4 linked regions of the Schizosaccharomyces pombe genome follow. The protein of the gene in region 1 purifies or fractionates together with the protein of each later gene. This does not show direct contact. Each region holds a gene or a part of one and is shown on either strand. Other genes may lie near its edges.

Evidence for each region.
Region 2: the proteins of mip1 (region 1) and wat1 purify together in Schizosaccharomyces pombe (affinity purification with mass spectrometry, with the first as the bait; one study listed by BioGRID). This does not show direct contact.
Region 3: the proteins of mip1 (region 1) and tor2 purify together in Schizosaccharomyces pombe (affinity purification with western blotting; 5 studies listed by BioGRID, with this or other methods). This does not show direct contact.
Region 4: the proteins of mip1 (region 1) and ste11 purify together in Schizosaccharomyces pombe (affinity purification with western blotting, with the first as the bait; one study listed by BioGRID). This does not show direct contact.

What each region holds. Positions count from the first base shown.
Region 1 is NC_003424.3:1,516,723-1,523,032, forward strand, and holds mip1 (WD repeat-containing protein), read right to left. Parts: upstream 4,721-6,310; 5' UTR 4,569-4,720; coding exon 627-4,568; 3' UTR 501-626; downstream 1-500. Other genes in the region: ssz1 (putative heat shock protein Pdr13), read right to left, coding at 67-144; coatomer gamma subunit Sec21, read left to right, coding at 4,990-5,020, 5,065-6,310. UniProt on the Schizosaccharomyces pombe protein: Component of TORC1, which regulates multiple cellular processes to control cell growth in response to environmental signals. Tor2 is essential for growth. Nutrient limitation and environmental stress signals cause inactivation of TORC1.
Region 2 is NC_003423.3:1,661,180-1,664,879, reverse strand, and holds wat1 (TORC1/2 complex WD repeat protein Wat1/Lst8), read right to left. Parts: upstream 1,940-3,700; 5' UTR 1,934-1,939; coding exon 989-1,933; 3' UTR 520-988; downstream 1-519. Other genes in the region: vacuolar transporter chaperone (VTC) complex, GTPase regulator subunit Nrf1, read right to left, coding at 1-298; myosin-binding vezatin family protein Inp2, read right to left, coding at 2,491-3,700. UniProt on the Schizosaccharomyces pombe protein: component of both TORC1 and TORC2, which regulate multiple cellular processes to control cell growth in response to environmental signals. Nutrient limitation and environmental stress signals cause inactivation of TORC1.
Region 3 is NC_003423.3:916,353-924,044, forward strand, and holds the start of tor2 (TORC1 serine/threonine protein kinase Tor2), read right to left. Parts: upstream 6,001-7,692; 5' UTR 5,933-6,000; coding exon 1-5,932. Other genes in the region: protein Cwf11, read left to right, coding at 6,373-7,692.
Region 4 is NC_003423.3:3,981,762-3,987,919, reverse strand, and holds ste11 (DNA-binding transcription factor Ste11), read right to left. Parts: upstream 4,545-6,158; 5' UTR 2,335-4,544; coding exon 928-2,334; 3' UTR 520-927; downstream 1-519. UniProt on the Schizosaccharomyces pombe protein: Key transcription factor for sexual development. Activates the transcription of the matp, matm, mei2, mfm, ste6 and rgs1 genes. Binds specifically to a DNA fragment carrying a 10-base motif 5'-TTCTTTGTTY-3'.

The sequences.
Region 1 (6,310 bases):
ATAAAGCAAGTCTATGCGAATGAACTAGGAGATTACTCATTTCTCCAAGTAAAAAAATTTTCTTACCCTATTAAAAGCAATAGAACTGTTTTGATTTCCAAAAGAAATTCCAATGACAGTCTTGTATTCTTCGGAATCTGCCATTATAAAATTTTCGCTGAATGGGAGAGTTTTCGTTAGCTTCAGCTGCATCAGAATTTACGACCCGAATATAAGAAAGTAATAGTACAATGCGAAAACATGAAATTGTGAATAAATAAATAAATTGGTATATTAGTATATTATTAATTATTTTTTAAGTTAAAAAAAGCTTTTTTTTCTTGACATTAAAAAACATTGATAATTACTAGCTTTTTCATAAAATGTATATAAAAGATTCAATTTTTCGATGAATGTAATATCTTAATTGTAAATTAGTGATTTTTTAAACTTCTTCAAAACCATATTAAAAATTGGTTTTACAAATATCTATAGCAGAGTTACACGGCAAAGGAGAAGACTAAGCAAAGTGGCAGGTTTAGCAAAATATGTATAATAACCAAATTAAGTGTTGCTAATAGAAAGAAAAGTCTAATCAGGTAAAGTAATCAATAATAAATTATGTTAAAACTATAGGAAAACATGGTTTAAAACTCGTTCGGCGAATCCGTATGAATCTCGTTTTTGGTGCAAGAGTATAGATTAACTCTACTATCTGTGTTATCACCACATGCAAGTAATAAATGATGCGGGTGAAACTTCAGGCACATTAAACTGGATGGTTTAGGCTGATTAAGGAACCGTGGATTTTCACGGAAGGTATTAATATTCTGGCCTAACGTGTCCCAAATTTTTATGCTTTGATTTGAGGAACCGGTTGCATAAACTGGGGCGTGACTATGCACAGTTAAAGAGGTGAGTCCAGAGTTGTCTGTTGAAAAAGTCTGTAAAGAATGATTCATCCTAATATCCCATAGCTTAACTTCACCATCTGAACTCGCCGAAATCAATTCTCGCATTCCGGAGGATTGCATTTCAACATTGACGATCTCGGACGAATGTTCTTTCCAAACATCCGTTAGTGAATCTCTTGCAGGCAATCGTTTGTCGTAAACACGAAGAACTCCATCTGAAAATCCAGCAACTATAATATTACAACCGACCAAATCGCTAGTTAAACTTGTAATACTATTACTGCTTCTTACTGGTAGGTTTGCATAGCAGATTTCTTTAGAAGCATCCCATATTCGAATAACGCGTACGTCTCCAGCAACAAGCAAGTGCCCACAGTTCTGTTGCCAACTCATTAAAAGGCTAGCATTTCGATCTCCAAAGACAAGATCACTTAGAGAATTCCACGAAGTTACCAGTTCAACCTTTTCATTTTCGTAGTCACGATACAGTTTAATTGTGCCATCAGAAGACCCAGTCATCAATAAAGCAACATCATCTTCATTTAGTAATTGCATGTCGGTCACGTTAGTTGTCGCACTTGCTGAAGTTTTGAAAGAATTGAGGCAACGATTGCGACGCCAGTCCCATACCTGAATGATATCTTTGTCACCTAATGTAATTAACTGATCTTCAAATTGGTGAAACATAAGCTTCCTAGGAGCGATAGTATTATTAAATGTCATAAGTTGTTGATTCCAACGACCGTTGGTTGAGTATTCAGCAAGGGGACGAGTACGATAAATAAGTTTTTCGTTTCTGTTTCTTCTCCACAAACGTTGATTATAGCAAATACTTCCAGGTTCATCGTCTTCGTTCGGCCGCATTTGGGGTTCGGTAAAATACTTACGAGACCAATCAAATAAGTAACTTGTAAGCGGCATGTCTAGCTCGGATTGGTATTCAAGTTCATTAAATGCAGGTGGACCAGGAACTTTGGCGGAAGTTAAGTGATTTAAATTAGACTCTGCAGGTTTGTTTTCTCCATTTAAGGAAAGTAATTCAGAAGCGCGATCACTTCCTGCCAGGCTTAAAGCCAAGCCTTTCAACGATCTAGTCAGAGAGAATGACCTGTTCAAGATTTTGTTTTCTGAAACAGAAGGAACGAAGGGATGTGGCTTCGGGTCGCTCGTAACTGAATTAGTATCGGTATCTTTGGAAAGAGAAGCTTTATGGAGAGCAGGTAAGTGTTGCAGAAGAAATGCTAAAAATGATTCTCTTAATTCAGAATTTAGCATACTCTGATAAACGTAATTTATTATGGCTTCAGCTGCAAGAGAAATTTCGATGCTTGGATCTGCAGCCAAAACCAAAACAGCTTGCCAAACTGTTTCGTAAATTGTCGAAGCACTGATAGAATTGTGGTTCTTTTTCTCAAGGATATCTGCTAAACTGCTCTCATACGCAACTACCATTAATTGCTTCTTATAATTCACTACAAAGTGAGAAAGGAATATCACTAGTTCATGTCGAACTAATGGTGACGCATCAGAAAGAGCTGCTAACGCCGCAATTGCAATATAAGTTTCAACAGCAACGACTTCTTCGGTCTTCTCAGGAAATCCCAAAAAAGTGGTAAACGCTGTTAAAACTGATGCACGAACTTCAGGAACGGAGTCAACGATGATTTCAGCTAATTTTACATGTGCATTATCACGAGTTCCAGACCATTTAGCTTCAGAGTAATTTTCCCAAAGCTGAGAAATACATAGGCAAGCCCATTGTCTTAATAAAGAGTCGGGACTATTTAAATGGGAAAGACAATGTGATAAAACCTGTGGGTTTAAACAAGCTAGCTGGCCTTGTGGGAACCCACGACAAAAAACACTGAGGATGAACGCACACATTGCTCGGTGTTCGGAAATATTACTTGAAGGAAAAATGGAAGAATTAGGGTTCAAAATTTGGACAAAATATCCATAGCCATTGTCTTTTAGTAAGTCAGCTTGACAAGAATCATCTACAGCAAGGATTCTCGCCCAAATAAATACCAACACAGGCTTTAACTCAATAGCTGGAGACTGGAGAAGTTTCAAAACGTAAGGAAATATACCAATAGAGAGCGCTAAATCTACCGCCCACACCCCGAGATCCAGAAATTTTGAGAGAAGAATTAGTGCACGCAATCGATGAACTTGTGAAAGTAATACCTGCAAAACTAGCGGTAATTGATCCGGTGGCTTTCTGCTAATTAGTCCTTGAGAGAGCCATACCTCAAAGGCAGTTAATTGCTCACTAAAAAATGTCGAATGCTTGTACTCGTAGGCTATGCCTTTGCTTTCAGCATCAAGCATATCAGGTAACTGAGATAGACAATTATCAATGGCCAAATCCCAAGAATTCCACATAGGATGATCGTGGGTAGGGGGGAGTTCAGGACTGGACTGAGGATGACAGGAATGAACGAGCATTATACGTTCCGCTAATAGAAAGTTACGAAACAGTGCTGCTACCATAAGATCTTGCCTAAATAATCTTCTGAAAAGATGCTTTGGAAAGACATTCCAAGCAATCGTATCTGTAATAGCAGTAAATATCCAGTTTAATTCGCCTAATGGAGTACGCCGATCTTGCAAGCGACCGGGAATTTTAAGAAGCATATTCAAATTAAGCTTATTAGGAAACGGGTTTTGCAAGACATACCAACGAACCGAAATTTCAATTGGGGAGGTAAGGCAAGAAGTAAACAAATCAGCTGGCAGATCTGGGTTCATCGGAAGGGTTTCTTTAGGCCCACAAGCAGCAAGTTGAATACAACTAGTATGAGAAGGCATAGCGAGCACATTGGGATTTTGCTTAGCAATACGGAGAGCTTCTTTGTCTCTCTGCTCGGCAAAACGATTAAAATTCACTATGATATTCCCAGCTGCGCTACAATCGTAAACATATATACAAGGCGCTCCAAGCCAAGATTGTAAGTCATAAAGCGATACAGGAATGTATTGAGTATAATTTTTATTGAAAACCCAGATTTCACCAGAGGCAGTAGGCATTGGGACACCATGACCATTATAATGAAAAAGGATCCGTTCCTCTTTAGCGTTTCGTCTTTGACCAATGCAAAGTTTTTTGACTTCTTCAATTGCGGGATCAAGGTAATGCCTATATCTTGTTCTCATACTTAATGTTTCATATTGTTGCTGCAAGTTCTTGCCAATGGCTTCAAGTGCTTTAGAAGCAGGTAATGAAAACGGATCAATCCAACATTCATATTTCGCTGCAGGATTAGGCTTTATAACATCAGGAGGATCCACCCCTATGTTTAAGCAAACTAACAATGCTGCAGAAACAGTTTTAAGCCGTTCGCGCATTCTCCAATCATGAATTGTTTCAGTAGGTTCGGCATTCTTTTTGCTGATCACCCCCCGATGCCGTTTATCAGTGTAATACATGTAAAAGACCTGCTCTAACATGTTTATATATTCAGCATTGTTGTACTCTTCTTCAAAACCATGTCTAGGTTGCGGGAATCCGGACTGTATCCCATCTATCATTGAACTCGCTGTATCGACACCATTCTCTGTAGCAATGTTGCTGTTCTCTGTGTATCTATCGCTTCCGGTCTCGGTTGTTCCATAGCTTAAGACTGATCTACGAGCCCTTGAGCTACCAGATACTTCACTAATTCTATCATTCATGTCGCATAGCTCAAAATCAAATACAACATTTCAAGAACTCTTCCCTATGTACAAAAGGTCGGTAAATCAGGAACTCAAGGGAAACTTAATTAACAAAACAAAAAAAAATAAGAGAAAATTAAGATGACTCTGTATGTATATACGAATTACGCAAGTGATATAGGAGAAATGTCAAAGCAATTAAACCATGTAAGTTACGAACTTTTGCAGTGTTTTATGGGCATATTTCGTTATACTGTTTAACGCTCGTAAAATACTTCAGTAATCCACTTAAGAAATATAAAATACACAACACGTTATACTTTGGTAATAATCGAAACCTCCTACTAGCTAATTATTTATCTACTACATACATCCAGTACGTTCATTTAGTTCTCTATATCTGTATTTCTGCTAAATACAAGAGACTTTTGTAAAGAAGATGAGTTATTCTAAAAAAGATGATGATGGTGGTATGTTGATTGTTTGGAATTATGAGCTGACCTTTTAACAATAGACGAATCGATATTTGCCAATGTCAATCAAGTCACAGTAACTCAAGATGCTAGGGCTTTTAATTCATCTTCCATAAGCCCTAGAAAGAGTAGACGTCTTCTTAGCAAAATCGCCTACTTGATATATACGGGAGAGCATTTCCAGGAAAAGCAAGCTACAGAACTCTTTTTTGGTATTACTAAACTTTTCCAACACAAAGACCCTAGTCTTCGCCAATTTGTTTATATTATTATCAAGGAGCTTTCCGTTGTTGCTGAAGATGTGATTATGATTACCAGTAGTATCATGAAAGACACCGCTACGGGACGTGAAACTATATACCGTCCTAATGCTATTCGCTCTTTGATTCGTGTCATTGATGCTAACACTGTCCCTGCGATTGAACGCATTTTAACTACGGGTATTGTTGACCCCATATCAGCTGTTGCCAGCGCTGCTCTTGTTTCCGCATATCATTTATATCCTGTTGCGAAAGACATTGTATCGCGTTGGAACAACGAGGTTCAAGACGCGGTCACATCTCATAATGTTGGTAGAAAAGTTGCTAGCTCTCCTTTTTTCACCTCTACCTTGGGTTACACACCAAATGCCAGCGGCATTTCTCAATATCATGCTTTAGGTCTTCTGTACCGTATTCGAAGACATGATTCGATTGCAATGAATAAGTTATTGCAGCTGCTTGTAAGCAATTTAGGAACAGTCTCAAATTCTCATGCATTTGTTATGCTTATCCGCTACATTTCTAGTCTAATGGATCAAAACACTCAATTTAGAGACCAGATGGTTCCATTTCTACATGGGTGGTTAAAAAGTAAAGGAGACATGGTAAACTTAGAAGTTGCTAGAAATATGGTCCGTCTCAAAAATATCTCAGATGATGACTTGCAACCTGTGGTTAGCGTTCTTAAAATTTTCTTGTCGTCTCACCGATCCGCTACCCGATTTTCAGCTATTCGTACGCTTAACGAGTTAGCCATGACACGTCCACACTTAGTACATTCCTGCAATCTTAATATCGAGTCTTTAATTACCGACGTGAATCGCTCCATTGCCACCTACGCTATCACAACACTTCTAAAGACTGGTAATGATGAGTCTGTCGACCGTTTGATGAAACAGATTGTTACCTTTATGTCCGATATTTCAGATAATTTCAAAATTATCGTCGTTGATGCCATTCGTTCTTTATGTCTAAAATTTCCTCGCAAGCAAGATTCAATGCTTACCTTTCTTAGTAATATACTTTG
Region 2 (3,700 bases), on another chromosome or scaffold:
CCAATCGATCATCGTAAGGACCACTTCCGCGTCGTCGAATAGCAGATGCTCTCCAGTGGTAAATACCAAGAGCATAACCCATGGTACCAATAGCAACAATAGTGAAAAGTCCTGCACTAATCTTACCAATTCGATCACCAAAGTTAAGTAAACCAACTGACAAACCACCCAAAACTACTGCAAAGCTCAACCAAGAAAGGAAAGTACGTTCATTAGCGAAAAAAACTTTAGGTTCAACACGAACAGGAAGAGCAATTCTTTTACCAGGAGTAGTTTGTAAAAGAGGTTGAGTAGACATTGTTAGTGGAAAGAGTGAGCTATAAATCGAAGGTTTTTTCTCCTCGCGAGATTAAGTATGTGCTGGCTGTGAGTTGTGGTTAAGGTCAGCTGTGTCGAACGGCCTAGAAATTTTTTTCGTATCTTACTACGGTAAGTCTCGGTAAGTTAATTAGCAGATTTAGCGAGACTAAATTCTTCAAATTTTGCATTATCAAATTCGCTTCTTCGCTAACCAGAAAGCTAATGAAGATATACATTTCATTTCATTTAAGGACACGAGGATATGTAACTTTTCCTACTTAATCCTATCATGTTTAGAGATAAAAGTTGTAAAATAAGTTAAACTACACTAATAAGCATTGAAAATTTTCAAAAGTTATCATCACTTAAGACTATTATTTATCATAAAAACTCCGAGATATGAAACTAGCAAATACTGTATCAAGGGAAGAATATAATTTATAAAAAATTTGTAAGTGACTAAGAAATCGTCTTGAAATCAGACACACTTAATATAAACGAATGTTGACAAGACAAGACTCTTGTTTTCCTAAGAAGATTGGTGAATAAAATCTATATAGCAAAGGTAAAATAGGATAAAGGCGTGTAATAAACTTGAATATATAGAAGTAATTTTCCAACATCAGTTGAGCTAAAAATACAACAAAACATAACTCGTAAACTTATTTTGAAAAATGCTTTGAAACACTTAAATTTGGTAGTCATTAAGAGCAACACAAACAGCAGCTTTGTGATGACCCGAATACTGACGGATTGTTTCACCACTCGATAACTCCCAAAGCCTTGCAACATGATCAGAAGATGCGGTTACTAAGTAGGTAGAATCAGCAGAAAACGCACAATCCCAAACCCATCTTTGATGCCCTTGAAGTCGTCTCTCAAGCATAAATGACATATCCTCCGTACTCCATATATTCACTGTAGCATCGGCAGAACATGTAGCAAGGTGTTTGACATCAGGAGACAAGACGCAGCGAGTGATATAACGCTGATGAGCTTGAAATTTGACAACGGGCTGAAGCAATGAAGCACCCTGATGATTTAGCATTCGCCAAACGTAGCAGTTTCCTTTGTTGTTCCCAGCAATAAGCATACTACCATCAGATCCAACAGTAATGCTGCTCATAGGTACATCTTCTTCCGGAATAAGTTCGTGTGTACAAGAATTCTCTCCTAAATCCCATGCACGAACTCGTCCACTTTGGTCGCATGAAAGCAGTTCACCTTGATTTGGATGAATTAACAAGTCATTAACAGGAGATTTATGATCATAGTTTCGCTGAACTGAAGGGGCTCTCATATCCCACACCTTTACTGTTCCATCCTCGCTCGATGTGGCAAGCCATTTACCATCACAATGAAAAGCGATGGCTGTAACATTATTGGTGTGCCCTTCAAAGGTCATTAATGGCATTTGACTACTAGTGTTTATGTCGTACAATCTTACATGAGGATTTCCGGCGGCTGCTAGAAACTTCTTATCAGGTGAAATACATAAACGATTTACCTGAGAGTCCGCATGTTGTATTGTTCTCGAGCATATTCCACTTAGGGCTTCCCAAAATCTAATGGTATGGTCATATCCACTGCTGACGAGCAGAACAGAATGTTGTGGTGGATACTGTACTGACATGTGGTTAAAGAATGGAGCGCTGTTATACTGTAGTTATTAAACAAACTCGAATACAGAGAGAATTAATGACTGAAAATTTTTAAAATCAATTAAATATGTTTATATTATATATTTAGTAAATTTTTTGTAGCATGACTTGTAAACGCACGATTGGCGATCTATACTTTAAATCTACAGCCATCAAAACTTTAAAAAATTTAACAGTTTTGACCATAAAAACAGGAAAATTCATAGAATAATAGTAAATTCATGTTAATTTAATTTTTTAAAAAATTGCGCCTGCAATAAGTAGCATAAGCATAAGTGTAAAGATAAACTGGTATAACTAAAATATTATACAGGACGAAAGGTTAAGGCAAATTTTTAAGCAACAAAGACATCATTGCTGAGTTGAACGACATTTAAACCTAGATAAATGTCGATTTGTAAATAGTTTATAATAACTATCCTAACTATTAAAACCAACAAGGTTCCGAAAGACGTATAACAGAAACGGACAATAATGGATAAAAAAGATCATAAAAGCAAAATATGGTTTAAAATTCTGAAAGCCAAAATTATTTACGCTTTCGGTGCATGTGTTGCAAGTTGAGAAGTAGTGCTCTATTAAAGTCCCATTCAGAGAGCAAATCTTTGAGCAGTAAACCAACTTGATCATATTCATCCATAGCATATGTCTGCATAGCTGTATTGTCTCCTTCTTGAATATATGAGCTGATAGACTCATGAGTTTCCATCATTACAGAGTGCAACTCGTTAAAAAGACTGCGCAAATTTTCTTTGCACATGATCCTGGGGAAAGGTTTGCTAGTAGTGTTATGTTGATTACGGTTGACCGATTCAACTGAAAACTTTAAGATGTCAACGAGACGAACCATCGACACAGACAATGCATTAGAGAGGTCACCTACCTCCCGGTGAACAATGAGCCATGAAGACCTTTCAGCTAAAAATGAATCAACCGGAAACGATAGTATGCAACATAGAACTTGCTTAGAGATTATAGTTAATTCATAATAAGCAGTTTTGATGTGATTGAGAATTTGGGTGGATTGGTCATCAAAGTCTTGGTTTTCTTTACGGGCTAGGTACATGGAACTCCGTTTTAAGCTTGTTGAGGAACCTTTTCGGAGGTCAAACGAATTTAATTTACCAAAGCAATTTGGAAGTCTATATAGTGATAATAGGTTTCTAAGGTTGGAAGCAGCTGCATACGGATATATTCTTGACAGAACCAGCTGGTATCTAGGTAAAAGCTTCTCATACAAACCAGACAGTTCGTAACTTAAAGTATTTTGTTCCGTAAGATTAAACAATAAAGGATCATTGGCAGGAAGGAAGTCCATTAACCGGGAGCGATTTGCTGCCGAATTTGCTTCCAATTCACAAATTTGGGAGTAAACACGATTAGATGTAGTTTCAAAATCATGCAATAGATTGACAAACTTATTTAAGCTGGATAATCCCATAATACGAATAAAATATGTCCAGCAATGACAAATCCGTATGAGCGAAGAGAAGCAAATATAAGATAAGGCTATTATCTTCACAAACTTTAGATAATGAAGACTTGCCATTGCAGATGATAATTTGTATAAAACAAAATCTATTACAATTTGTAAGCTCAGCAGATAGGCGAAGTATCTCCAAAACTTGCTCGTAGAACTGAACGATGAAGAAGGATAAACCAAAGAAGGCTGTTCTTCATGATGTGACCGCTGTAGCTCGTGATCTCCTACGAGGAGTTCAGATGTATAAATAATGTAC
Region 3 (7,692 bases), on another chromosome or scaffold:
CTTTAATACTCAGTCGTCTCGGACGTTGCTTAGATGTTATCACGTTGAATGTAGGGTAAAACTTTACAATTCTTATAACAGGTTTCCCGCTAACGTATGTTCCCGGAACAGCTAACTCAAGATCATGTACATGTAAGAGTTTAGGAGAAACGTATTGTAAATCTAATGTTGTCAACTGAGGTAGCTGTTTACGAATTTTCTTGAAAACTTGGTAATATAAGTCCCAGGCCTGATTTAAGTCTGATATATCACCAGTTTGCTCAAAACGGATACAACAATCCCTTGCTTCGACTAAGTCACGTCCAAAGGCTTGTTGGAAAGAAATTTCACGAAGCGTTTCCGGACCACGTTCCAACATTTCATGCAATGGTCTCAACACGGCAAACATACCCTCAATGTTATGATCACCAAAATACAATCGTGAAGCCTCTTCCAATCCTTCATGCCATTGTTCATGCCAAAGGATTGCAGCTCTGATAAGCTCATGACTAACAAGTCTTGCTTGTTCAACTAGACGTGGACTATGTGTTTTCAAGGAATCCATAATTGCTAAAGCAGCGTTTTGCCTAGCAGAACTCTGCGATTTTGCTGCTACAGTTAAAGGATAAACAAGAGCTTGGGGATGCGCGCGACCTACATCGGAAAGCAACTGATGCACAGATTTACGAACACTCAAAGAGGAGGCATGAATTCTCGCAATAAGCTGAGGTATAACGTCCAGCCAGATATCGATGTTCACAGTGGATATACCAACGTTCAAAGTATTAATTACATTGCTATTATTGCCGAATTTAAACCAAAGATTAAGAAGGCGCAAGGTGTCCTGAAGGTTACCTTTGCTTAAAGCAATTGACTTAAAAAAGCCTTTGACTGCTGGAATAATATACTGCTCATATGCAGCACTTGGGATTTGCTCCTCTGATTGCTCCAAAAACTTTACAGCTTCGAAATTAGCTAATGCCCAAGAGTGCCAAGCTTTATACCATTTAGAATCAAATTGCGTAGCATACATATATGATTGAAGAACTCCATCAAAAGATCCTTCTGACCAATTATTCTCAATTTCTTGCTGCCATTGACCTTGCTTGTGATAACATCTAGCTAGAAGATGAAAATAATATTGAATTTCTTCTTGTGATTTTTGAGTATTAACTGATGTAGATTGAACAAAAAGAGCAGGGTCAACATTAATGTCAGAAATTAGCTGAGAAGTAAACTCTTGCATGCTATTAAGAGCCTTCCTTTTATCGTCAACAGCCCACAAAAACTTTAGATTTGCATAGACAATTGAAGGGTGAGTCTTCTTTAAGACGAGTGAATTATCTAAGTTTTCGTCGTCTTCAAGGAGTAAATTAAGTGATTTTTTCGCTAGACTGATCCTACCAGATTTTCTGCAGAGATTAGCGAATTTGATCCACATCTCCATGTTATCACGGGGTGAAATAACTAAAGATCGTATTCTTAACATTCTTTGCCAAACATCCACATTTCTCTGACAGCCTTTCAAACGTCTAACCCATGTCTTCTTTATCATTTCACGAACTTCGGGTTTGTCCTCGGCTTTTTTATAGGTAATGATTTCTTCTAATTCGGATAACATTTGAACACGGACAGCAACGCTGTAAGCCCTATTATAACTTTCACCAACAAGCGCAGTAAGCTCAGTATCAAGTAAATCTCGAGCTCTGGTGATATAAGAAGCTGCTTCTTCAAATTGTGATCGATGTAGAGCCACAATCGCGTTAAAAAAAGCTTTATCTGGTGACTCAGACTTCATAACAGAAATATATTCATCCATTTGCTCCCATTGACCTAACCCCCAAGCAGCGGCTACGGAAAGCGGTGCAATATACCGTCGCGCATCATGACCAGCATGAATCCAATTTTCTTGAGCTAACTGAGATAATCGATCCCATTCACCCAAAGCGTGTAAACAACGAAGTTTGCCCATCGTTATTTCGAAATTGCCAGCGCCAGCAGCTTCTCTTTTTTCATAAGCTGACAGAGCATCTTCCCACCTTTGTAACTTTTCGTACCAAGTTTCTTTAAGATTCATTTTGTCATGCTGCTGAGCATGTTTAAGTATTCCAATAGCTGCGTCTGGTTGTTGGAGTTGATTATTGATTGAAATTAGGGCCTCAATTGTATCAACCGAAGGTTTTGTCACCAATTCTTCTTCAATGAATTCTAGCTCCTTGTAATGTAAAGCCTTAGCAAACGCATGGCATTTAGCTGCATAGGCACCCAAAGTACGAATATCAATCGGAAGTGGTTTATCATCATGCTCCATAAATTCCGCAAGATTGAGTAAAATCTGAATAATTTCAGGAGATATGTGTGGCGACGTTAAAGCTATCTCAATCGACTTAACTAATTCTTCTTGAAAGTGATCATATAATTCAGACCAACAAGAAACAAAACTAGCGTTAAATAAGTCCCTGGCTAAAGGTTGATAGGCAGCAGCCAAAGCAGCACATGCTCGTAAGGCATGTGAAGGTGATTCTCTTAAGAGAGCTACGCCTAATCGTCGGATCCATTCTTGCCAGTCATCCTTAGTCGATCGTTGAGATGCTTCCCACGCATTTCTGAGGATTTCTTGATTTACAGGAAGCTTTTTAGAGGTTATATCAGCAGCGGAAGCTACCACATCTAATTTAGGCTTATCGTATTTTTCATAAGGGTTGAGTTTTATAGGAAGAGGCTGTTCTTGTAAAAATTGTTCAACAAGTATCGAGTAGGTTTCATGAGTAACGCCATTCATCTTAAGGCACTTATCAATCATTGGAATGAAAATAGCAAAATCAACATTAAGTTGATATATAAGCGCACATACAGTATCCATACTCACGCGAATGAGAGAGGCATTGTTGCACGAAAGCATACGCATAACAGGATGTATAATTCTTGATGCATATTCCGAGAGATTAATAACCATTGAAAGTCGTCCAATTGTAATCATTATACTTTCTTTTATACCGATTGAAACATCATTTCGCTCATACAGTCGAAGTATTGGATCCAAGAGCATATGAAAATAATCAGCTAATGTATCACCGAAGACGATGAATGCGTGCAATACCTTTTTTGTACTGACTGAGTCCACTGATACATCAGAGTCAAATATTTGTAGCATCATTACTAATAAAGATGGTAAGTATGGCTTGAACTCTCCCTGCATTGCTCTAGCCAGTGATTCAATTAGCGACAAAATTGTAAATTGTAAATTAGAATGCGGGTTCCAAAAATCTTTGATAAGCTTAAATAAATCTGGTAAAAAACTTCGTATGTGCTGACGAACAATAAGGACCAAAATACTTAGTTGCTGAAAATAAAACTCCAATATGTTCGTAGGACACGTTCTCATAACTGCGATAAATTCTGGAATAATTTGGGAAAGAAAGGGGGCACATCTGAGACCCATGGTCTTGAATATATACATTACAGCTTGAATAACAGCAGTATGGTGAATAGTTAAGGACGGGTCTTTTAATATACTCATCAAAGCAGTAATCACGACTGTGGGGTAATATTCATCGGATGATGGACCAATGCCCGACATCAGCAAAGAAATGTCAGGAGGAATGTTTTTCTGTTCTGGAACTACTTTTTCTGTTCCCTTTTCTAAAACACGATGCCTATTGGGATCTAAAGCACCAAGTGTACCTATTAGTTTAATAGTCTCTCGACGAATAGTAATATCTTGTTCGGTTTTCGTTATGCCAATAAGTATATCAAGTAAAGAAGGGAATTCAATATACGGATCAATTACATATCCGGTGCTGCTTGATAAATTACCCAAAGCCTTTAAAGCCGCTGCTCTCCTAATAGGAGAACTTTGGTCCTGCAAAGCCTCAATTATTAGCGGCATTAAGTCTTTAATAAAAGGAACAATAACCTCACCGCTGATTTGGCATATTTCACCAAGCGAATTAACAATACTAGCTGCCACAATTGAACTAGAATCTTTAGCTTTGGGTAAAAGTATTTGCAGTATTGGTTCCACATGTGACTCTATTAAGCGAGGAGCTGCTGCAATTAATAAACACAATAACTTGGCATTCTCTTCTTTAGTTCTGATAATTGTAGAATAGTCCAATATTGTTAAAGTTTTTAACATTATTTTCCTTAAATATGGCATCACATAGGCAGGGTTATAGACATTTAGTCTTCCAATTATCCGTAATGCAGATTCTCGTACAGCAAAGTTTTCATCATTAATAGCAATAAAAAGTAAACGAATTTTATCTGCTTGGGCTAAATGCTTGTTAAAGCGAGAATCGAGAGAATTAAGAACAGTTAGCCGAATATCTGGAACAGTATCGCAAATACCAACTGTTAGAAGCTTTTCTAGCACTTCGGCAACTACTTGAATCGCATGATCACTAGTCTGCGATAAAATAGGATCACGAGCAAATAGTTGGGAGCAGGTTATGGAGGCGGTTTTGCGTACTTCCGGGTCATTGTTTTCAAGGTATACAACTACACAATCCTTCACAAATTCATTAAGAATATAACCGGAGAAGTCAAAATTTCCCAAAACTTTTAGAGCCAAAATATAGACGTCATTGGGAAAAAATCCTGTCTTCAGGGAAGCACTCTTTGAAGATTTTAAAGATCTTGCTACATATTGGGGAGGACATCCTGGAGGAATAAAAGGACGACCACTTAGAATTTTGCTGAGCATATCTAATAGTCGTTCCTGTATGACTGGTAATAATGGAGGTATATTATGGGCCAGATCTGAGAGAGCACGGTAAGAAGCCTCAGAAAGTCCGCTTGCAAATATTAAGTCAAAGAGGTCATACGCATAGTTTGAAAAGGCTTGTCCTAGTGCTATAGAAAGTAGGCTAATGCATTGAAAAATTGCAGCATCCGAAGCACTTTTATTACGGATATGGATTTTTAGACTTTCCTTGATTGAATCGCATATGGGGTCAAGATATGGGATTATGCTATTAGTAATAGCCACGGCAACTTTTCCAATAGTGGCAAACGCCAACATCTTAACATTTTCTTTTTTTAATAGATTAAGTAGATGGAGCATACAAACGTGTAAATAATTGGAAACAAATTCATCTGGATTATAAGCTGCGAGTGTAGCAATCAATTCTGTAACGGTTTTGCGAATAAGCAAATCTTTGTGATCTCTGAATTGCAATATAATGTCCGATACTTCTCGATACCTCTCATGCATAAACATTCCAGCTTTTAAAAATAATTGGCGATATACTAGTAAACTACCATGAATGTAATCAGAAGAACCCTGTGCAACACCACGTTGAGCTTCATTGAGAATACTTGTATACCATTGGAGACGGATGGATGAATCCCTTTGCCTAACGATTTTCAAGAACTCACTCAACGCATCAGCCGAAGCTATTCGAATAGTAACTTTTGGATCCCGAAGTCCATGCCATAAAAGCTCAAAAATTGAATCGATATGAGCATAGATTAATGTAGACGTATTTTTGGCAAGCTCCTTAAGTATAAGCACTGCTGCATATCTACGATTTTCATTACGTTCTCCTTGAAGCCATTCCAAAGCGCGTTTAACTTCGAAGTTCACAAATTCAGAAGTTAGAGCACCTCCAGGAACTGCAAGTCTCCCTAAAGCTTTTGCAGCAAGAACGGTGGCTTTTTGGTCAGTTCCTGGAAGAATAATACGCAAATAATTTGCAAATCTAGTAATCCTTGTAGTATCTTCTCCTTCATAATCAATTAGACGATTTATGGCAGTTACGCCTGCCAGACGATCGAGTGGATCGGTACTGTGAATTAAAGTATAAACGTACTTGTTAACATCATTGTTAAACTGAACTAAAGCTTCGCCCGATAATTCTCGAGAATAAGCTATAACATATTCATAAAGATCATTTGCCGCTTTATTGCGAATTTCTTCATTCCTGCTTTTCAACCCAGGAAATTCTTTCATTATATACAGCTTAAATTAGCATCATTCTCTCAATTAAACAAAATTATTAAATGTGGTTGGTGGTGACCAAACAAGCACCTGCTGTACTTTTGCACCTAATTCTTAGTATACGCAGAGAGGAGATCAATAGAAACACGATTGAAAAAGTAATATTTTTATGACGATTAATTATTTGTAATAGATATACAAGTTAATATTTAGTGTTCTCAAAAAATCCAAGTTTTATTAAAAAAAGTCTAAACTTAGGAACTTTGGTAAAATACCAAAAACGAGTGTTGATTATCTAAATTTTATTTTCGAAGTATTACTTTAAGTTTTTTACTTTACATTTTTCTCAAAGCTCATAGAGGAGAACAAATAAGAATCGCTGTTAAAGATTCTGACGCTAACCACCAAGTTCACAACACTTGTGATATTGCTAATATCCCTTTCTCTATTAAATGGTTCTGTATAAAAACAAAAAAAAACAAATCATTAATTATGCAAATTCGAATTGGGGTCAAAATGAAGGTGTAGAATTTCAAGAAACTATGCTACAATGCATCCTCGAAGCTGTCATTGTAAGTAAAGATGCTAAGCAAGTACTTAGTCTGTTACATGAGTTAAAGCTTTTTGAGAATTTCCTTTGGCAGAGGGTTAATACTGAGATGTCATTGAACCATATAAACTTAACTTGTATGCTTCTATTATACAAATCCAAATATGAATATATTACATGGGACCTCATTGATGAAAATCGGTTTCAATTATTTTTTGAAAAAGTAATTGAAGTCTCTTTATCCTTAAATTTATCAGAAGTGGTTTACATGATTCAATTCATTACTCTCTGTTTTCAGTTTTCGAATATAGAGAAATTAAGGAAACTTGTTTACCAGTTAACGAACATTTCTATTTTAAATTCGCTTGATAATCTTGATAAAGTAAAATATTTACTACATGACTCAAGCTCTCTGACGAAAGCCTTTGATTCTTATAAGGAAAAACGACCGTCTATCGTTGAAAAGTTCCCTTTACATAATTTACTTTCCCGCTGGATTCATTCTCTGCTTATTAAATCGATTAGCTACGCTCAAACTGAAAAACAAGAAGCGAAAGTAACCCCCCTTTTAGCAATTATCAATATGTCTTTGGTTTTACTATCCGCATTTCCCACACGTCGCTTTGCTCATCCCGTAATAGAAGACAGTTGTTTTTATACCGCATTAAGAATGTCTTTGTATTACGACAGTAATGAGCTTTTTAAAAAAATGACAGACGACTTAAACTATGTTTTGAAATTCCCTTTTGATAATACCAGAGGTAACGAATATGAGAAAGAACAAAAAATCAGAAATGATGAGCTTGTGTACTACCACTTACAGTTAACTTTATTTTCGGATTTTCAGAAGGAATTAGGGGATCTGGTATTTTGCACACAAACCTCTTTACAACAGCGACAAAAATTGGAGGAAATTACGTCTTTTCTTTCCTTCAATTCACTTAAGTCCTTGTGTAGTAAATGTTATTTGAGGACTTCATTTCCCGAAAAATATGCTATAAAAGTGGATTTCGAATTTTTAAAAAATGTTTTTATTAACACGTATGATAGGACTAGATTGGTAAATGATTATGATGAAATCATAAATTTTACTTTGAAAGATGTACTTGGTGAGCGATCCGTGATGGACCAAGAAAACTCTTTGACCAATTACTTCCTACTACAAAACACTGCTATACAATATCTTTCTATATCTTTTTTTATGAGACAACAGAGTAAAGCT
Region 4 (6,158 bases), on another chromosome or scaffold:
AAAGAGTTTCATTGTTTCTAAACTTAACTTTTTTCTTTTTTTTTTGTTAGTGGGTAAAGACGAGTTAAGGCTTTTTCTTTTTGTTTTCATTCTTAAATAATACAGTTTTGCAATCCAACATATACAAAGATTCTTACGACTTGCGTTATAATTTTAAAATATAATTGATCGATTTTTGATAGCATTACTTCTTTAAATCCGTCGCTTTTCATGAAATATTTGAATGCCGAATGCTATAAACATTTATAGATAGATACCTTTCGCCATTGAAACCGAATGAATTCTATAAGTTTCTTTGTCAGGTAATTTAATTACCTTTATTCTTAATCAATTTATTGGTTGAGTTATCTTTACATTACCCCAGTAGGTGTGGGTGCCAAGTAAACCTTCATCGATAGTATATCTAGTGAAATGGTGATAACAATACTGCATTGGATGATTGCTTGATACGTAAAGAAAATAATGAACATATATATACTTAACATTCTTACGAAAGTAATGGAAGAGAAAAATTAGAAATTACGTTGCGATATAATATATATTTTTTTAACTACAATATATATGTAATAACGGGCCCAAATTAGATGACAGGAAATTAGATGTAAGAAATCAATTCATAACGTAAGACATTGTTCAAAATTAAAAAAAAAAGAAAATTAGTGGGCAACTATTCAATGTTGCCCAATGTGCTCTTTGGAAACTAAGTATACACATATTCCTATAATAAACATAAAAAGGGAATAATTAAAGAGTTTAAAAGGTAAATGAAATAAATTATGGAAGGCATCATCTAGCATAACAAAGATATGCAAAATTAAAAAAATATAGATTTTTAAGCATGACATGAACAAATCAGCTGCATGCTTTTGTGACGCGTTAAAAATGATCGTTTGTTGAAAACAAAGCCATGTTTGCATAGAAATATTTTCAAAATAAATTAGAATTGGGCAACCAAGGTTCTAAAAGAGAAGGTCCCAATGAGTTAGCATCTTTGAGTGAGGAAGCAATAGGATCAGTTGATGTAAAATCCGTAATTTGTGAAAATAAATCATCCAATTCTTGAGAATGAGCGGCGAACTCATAATTGCCATTTGAGAACAAACTTTGAGAAAAACTATTAATGTCAACAAAGCCTTTACTTTGTTCGTCGCTTCTCCAGGTATTATTTTCAGTATGTCCAGAATTGGTAACACTAGACGAAGAGACGCATGTATAGCCAGAACTGCTGTTCAATCGACTCATTGCTGGGTAAGAAGTATGGCAATAAGGCGTAGATAAAAGTTCGGTCTCTTGGCCGTATAAATACGCAGTAGTGCTGCCTACACTGAGAGGAGTTCCTAGGTACTCAGCTCCATCAAAACCATAATGATCACCGGTATTCGGGGTTTTAGGTGATATACTGGCATTGGGGCAAGAGGGAGTTGAGGGTCGAGCATCAATAGGACTACAATGAGACAACACTTTATCGGCTGACAGCTCTGGACTATCAGAGTTACTTTGCTCACTCACGGTTCCTTTAGAATCAAATTTTGGAACTCTTCGAGCAGAGCAATTGCTTGAATTTTGAGGCAAGTTCGCCTCCAAGCTCGGTGTTTTTGACATTTGATAAGATTTGTCAACACAGCCATCAGATGACATTGATCTTTTCGGTACTATTCGGGCTTTATTAGCTAAACACACAGATTTTGTTCGCCCGATTGGACTACCGCTACTGGGTGATCTATAATAGATGCCCAAAGAACTAGGAGCTTGCTCGGATTTATCCAATGTAGAAATAGTTGTAGAAACTTGATCGGTGAAGGATAAGGAAGGAATTGTATGACTTCGAATCATTGGGGAAGACGAAAGACAAGACAATTCACTGGTTTCAATAAGATTCGATTTACCTGACTTTGGATATGAAAGAGCGGGAGCTAATAAAGCTGCTAAAGTTTCCTCCTCATTAACAGGCTTTTCGGGTTCGGTCTGTTTTAGAGTCTTAGAAGATTGTGCAATTTGCTGCAGTACAACGTAATCCGAGGCCACAAAAGATCCGGAAGAAGGTGATACCTTTTTATGGCGTCTACGAACAGTAGACCGCTTTTTAGGGGTGTACTTGTATTCGGGATTTTCCAGCATATGTTTCTGCCTTTCGAGGGCGGATAAATCAGAATAATACTTCTTGACTTGGGCACTTTCATTTCTCCACAGCTGACCAATGATACGTGAGATACTTTGGTGATTAGAAGTAGGAATTTCAGCTTGGCGATCTCGACGATAAAGCATAAAACTGTTTAAAGGTCGCTTAACAGAACTTTTTTGGTCCTTTTGCTCGGCTGTTAAAGAAGCAGACATTGTGTAGAGAAGAGTAAATATAAAAATTGTAGTAAAAGTAAGGGAGAAAATAAAACAAATGAAACGGTTCTTAGAATTAATTAGAAAGATGATTCAGTAAGAACAAAGCAAACATAAATGAAGTTCGCAGTCAGAAAGAACGAAGTAGAAAAGAAGCGAACAGCACAAACCGAGGGAGAGGGGATGAGATCAGAAAACAGTAAAGAAATAAACACCGAATAAAAACTGGTGTGAAGGATTTTTTTCTATTTAAAAAAAGAAAAATGGTATTAAGATAGAAAGAAATCTCAAACTAACAAGAATGAAAAATGAACAAATTATTCACAGTGAAGTAACAGATGAATATAGTAAAAGTAAAATTCCCTTGTATGTATCAACAAATAAATGAAAATAAAATTTCCGTCAATCTAGATATTAAACAAGCTTGTTCGCCAAAGAAATCAAGTTCAAGCTTAATGAATAGAGACTGACTGGACTAAAAAAAAGAAAAAAGTGACAAAAGTATATTTGATGCCAGGTTTTTCCTAAACGAAAAAAGTAAGGTAATGAAATAATAAATGAAACTAATGGAATTTCCAGCTCAAGAAGAAAAAAACAGAAGCAACACTCAAAGCCGATTTGAAAAATGTAAAGAAGCGTAGAAAAAAAAAGATGAAAGTTGAGACTGAAAAGTTACTAGATCGAGTTGGAATGATGAAGGATATTTTTCGTAAAGGCGATTGAATCAAGGATAACTTGAAAGAGACAATTAGTAGAGGTCCAAGTGGAAGAAGGAGTGAAAGTGATATATAATAGAAGGCCACAAGAAAAAAATTGAAGCTTTAAAAGTGATTTTCTTATAAGCCTAATTTTAAGTTGAGGAGATTTGAAAACGAGAACAAAATCACGAGCCTCTAAGGCTTTTTTTTCTCTATATAAAACGGAGGAAAAACTAAAAACAAGAAAGAGCGGAATAGTTAACAGGAAAAACAGACGAAACGGAAGACTAAATAACGGAAAAGTGAGTCAAATAAAAAGGCGTAACAAGGGAGAAATTTCAGAGACACCGATAACTGAAGAATGGTTGAGCTCTGTAAGATGGTGAAACTTTGGGTATACAAATAAAGTGAGGAATACCAATGAATACGTGAATAATGCGACAATGACAGGGGAGAAATAATGTTATAACATGAGCCAACAAAGACCGATGGTGAATGCAACTTAATTCTGAATGGTGTGTACTAATGGAATCACAAAAGAAACACGTTAAAAAAAGGATATTAAAATAAAATGAGGAATGAAAATCTAATAGATCAGATATCAAGGATAAGCAGCCAAGCGATAGAATAACGATGCGAATAAAAAAAATTTAAAGTTGGGCAAAAATTGCAACAAAGAAACAACTTAGTTAATTAGTAGAGAGAAAGTTGATAAAGGATAACTATGGTGGTAGAGACAAAGAAATATATAAAAAAATTTTGACGTAGAAAAAAAATAAAAAAAAGGGGGGGATTCGACGTACAGTAAGGGAATCGACGTAAAAATTAAAAAAAAAGATAAAATCCTTTTGATTTCAAGAAACGAAAAAATTATTCCAACACTTCTCAATTAACAATTCCAACAGAGGAGGATCCCAAAAGAACGTAGAGGCAAGAAAAACGAGAAAAGTTTGAAGAGAGAAGCGAAGCCAATTGGACCAACAAAATGAAGAAACAGAATAGAAGAAGAAAAAAAAGTTTAAGTCTGTTTACTATAAAGAAAAGAAGAGATGTGAATAAAAATTAATCAACAAATTAAACTTAGAAATAGTCAGTGAAAATAAGTCAAAGTAAAGTCAAAACAAAGAAAAGAATAGAGCTAAGCCAAAGCAAACCAAGATAAAGGAATAGACTTAACACGAATAGACAGGAAAGAATGGGAGGAGGCAAGCTAATTCAAAGACGACAAGCTGCAATCAAGACAAAGACCAGAAAAGTTAAGTTAAGTTGAGTAAAAAAAAAAAAGAAAACAAAGAGAAAACAAAAAAACGAGGCAAAAGCTCTCAAAGAAAAATAAAATGCAAACTAATCAAATGAAATACTTTCTTTTAGCATTCACAATCAGGTTTAAGATTGAAAAGTCAGAATGCTAATAATGCTTTGTTTATTTGATAATAAAGAAAATCCAATATACGACGCGAAACAATTCAACGCTGGATATCCTTTTAATATATGCTAAATGAATAGATTCTCACTATGTAAGTCACCAGGTATGTATGTATATATATATATATATACATACGCATTGGCAACCAACTAGTAAGAGTATAGAGCGAGGCGTAATACGCGATGTTACTGACAATGAAAATCAAACAAAGAAATTCAACTTTTTTAAGTCTAGCCAAAATGTGTATGAGGGGAAGGGACAAAATTCACAGGGGTTAAAGTAACATATGATGCGAAAGCATTTGTCACTTTTACTTGCCTACAAACGATGTAACACAGCAAACAAAGTCAGGGATTCCCCCCTGTACAAAAGATTAGTGTGGCACTTGGCAAAAAGTCTCGCAAAGCTACTTTTCGTTGAGGGAGATAGCGCAAGGCAAAATGACAAGAAGCCAACGACTAGTCTTCCAATGAATGAGGAATTGTAGAACGCTGGGGAAGTTGGAGAGTTAAGGAGGGGTGGAGAAAGCAAAATAGAGTAAGCGGGCATTTGAAGAGCGGCAATTTGCGAAACCGCAGGGTATTATAGGTAAGGTTTAAGCAAATGTTAAAAGAATAAAAAAGCATAGCGAATGTGTGAAAACAAGTGCCGGCAGTTTGAGTAGTAAGCAAGTGATGAGGAAGTAGTTTGGGGTGAACGGAACGGGAGTGAAATAAGAATGGCGAAGACTTGGAGTCATGATGAAAAATACAGGTACTACGAGCGGAAGGAAAGAAACCACACACATACAATGATTCTATCGAGTCATTGCCATTGGAATTTTGCTACAATTTACCGAAAATTAGGCGTGGGTGCTTGTGTTTCCCTTCCATCATCCCTGGAGATGGCATGCACCACAAATAATCTATCGCTACAGTGATAGACATGTAAGATGGAGAACAAGAATGTCGGAAAGGTAAGTGCTGTGGTAGTACAGGGTGATTTGCATAAGAATGACATTTTTTTAGCAAGATCATAAAATGGGAAACGCGATGGAAGAGACTATGTGAGACACAATGTATGCTGTAAAAGTATAATCTTATTATATTAAAAAAAGAACGACGAATAAATTGAGAAAGGTGAAAATTTCAAAAAAAAAATAAATGGAATGGAAAAAAGAAATAAAACCATTGAAAACGATAAAAGTCCAAAGACTAGACATTATTTTAGAGAAGGAAATGAATGCTACTTGAATTTGTGCAAAGTAGCTTTGACTTATGCAATGTAATAGAAAATAGGAATTGCCGCCAGATTAGCGTATGTGTGCGTACAACTTGAGATATGCGCTAATTTCCATTGCATATCACCCAATCGCACTATTAACCTGGGCTTTTGTAAGAATTGAGCGAGCGACCAGCAAAACAAGGTTGAGCTTAAAAGGTGGATGACCCGCCGAGTCAGAAAATGGCGGCCGGCAAGATGCAGAGAGGAAGGAGACGATAGGAAGGAGAGATGGGAGAAAGTAGAGGTAAAGATGAAGATGAAGATGTAGATTAGTTATAGATGAAGACGAGTTTTGAATGAAAAAGGTTACTACTGAACGATAACGAATTTAATTTGAAAACGAATATAATTTTTTGAAAACGACTATACTTTGAAAATAACCTAAACCGATAAATTTATAGCTAAAAACTTCACAAATTGTATTGTGGAATGTTTTC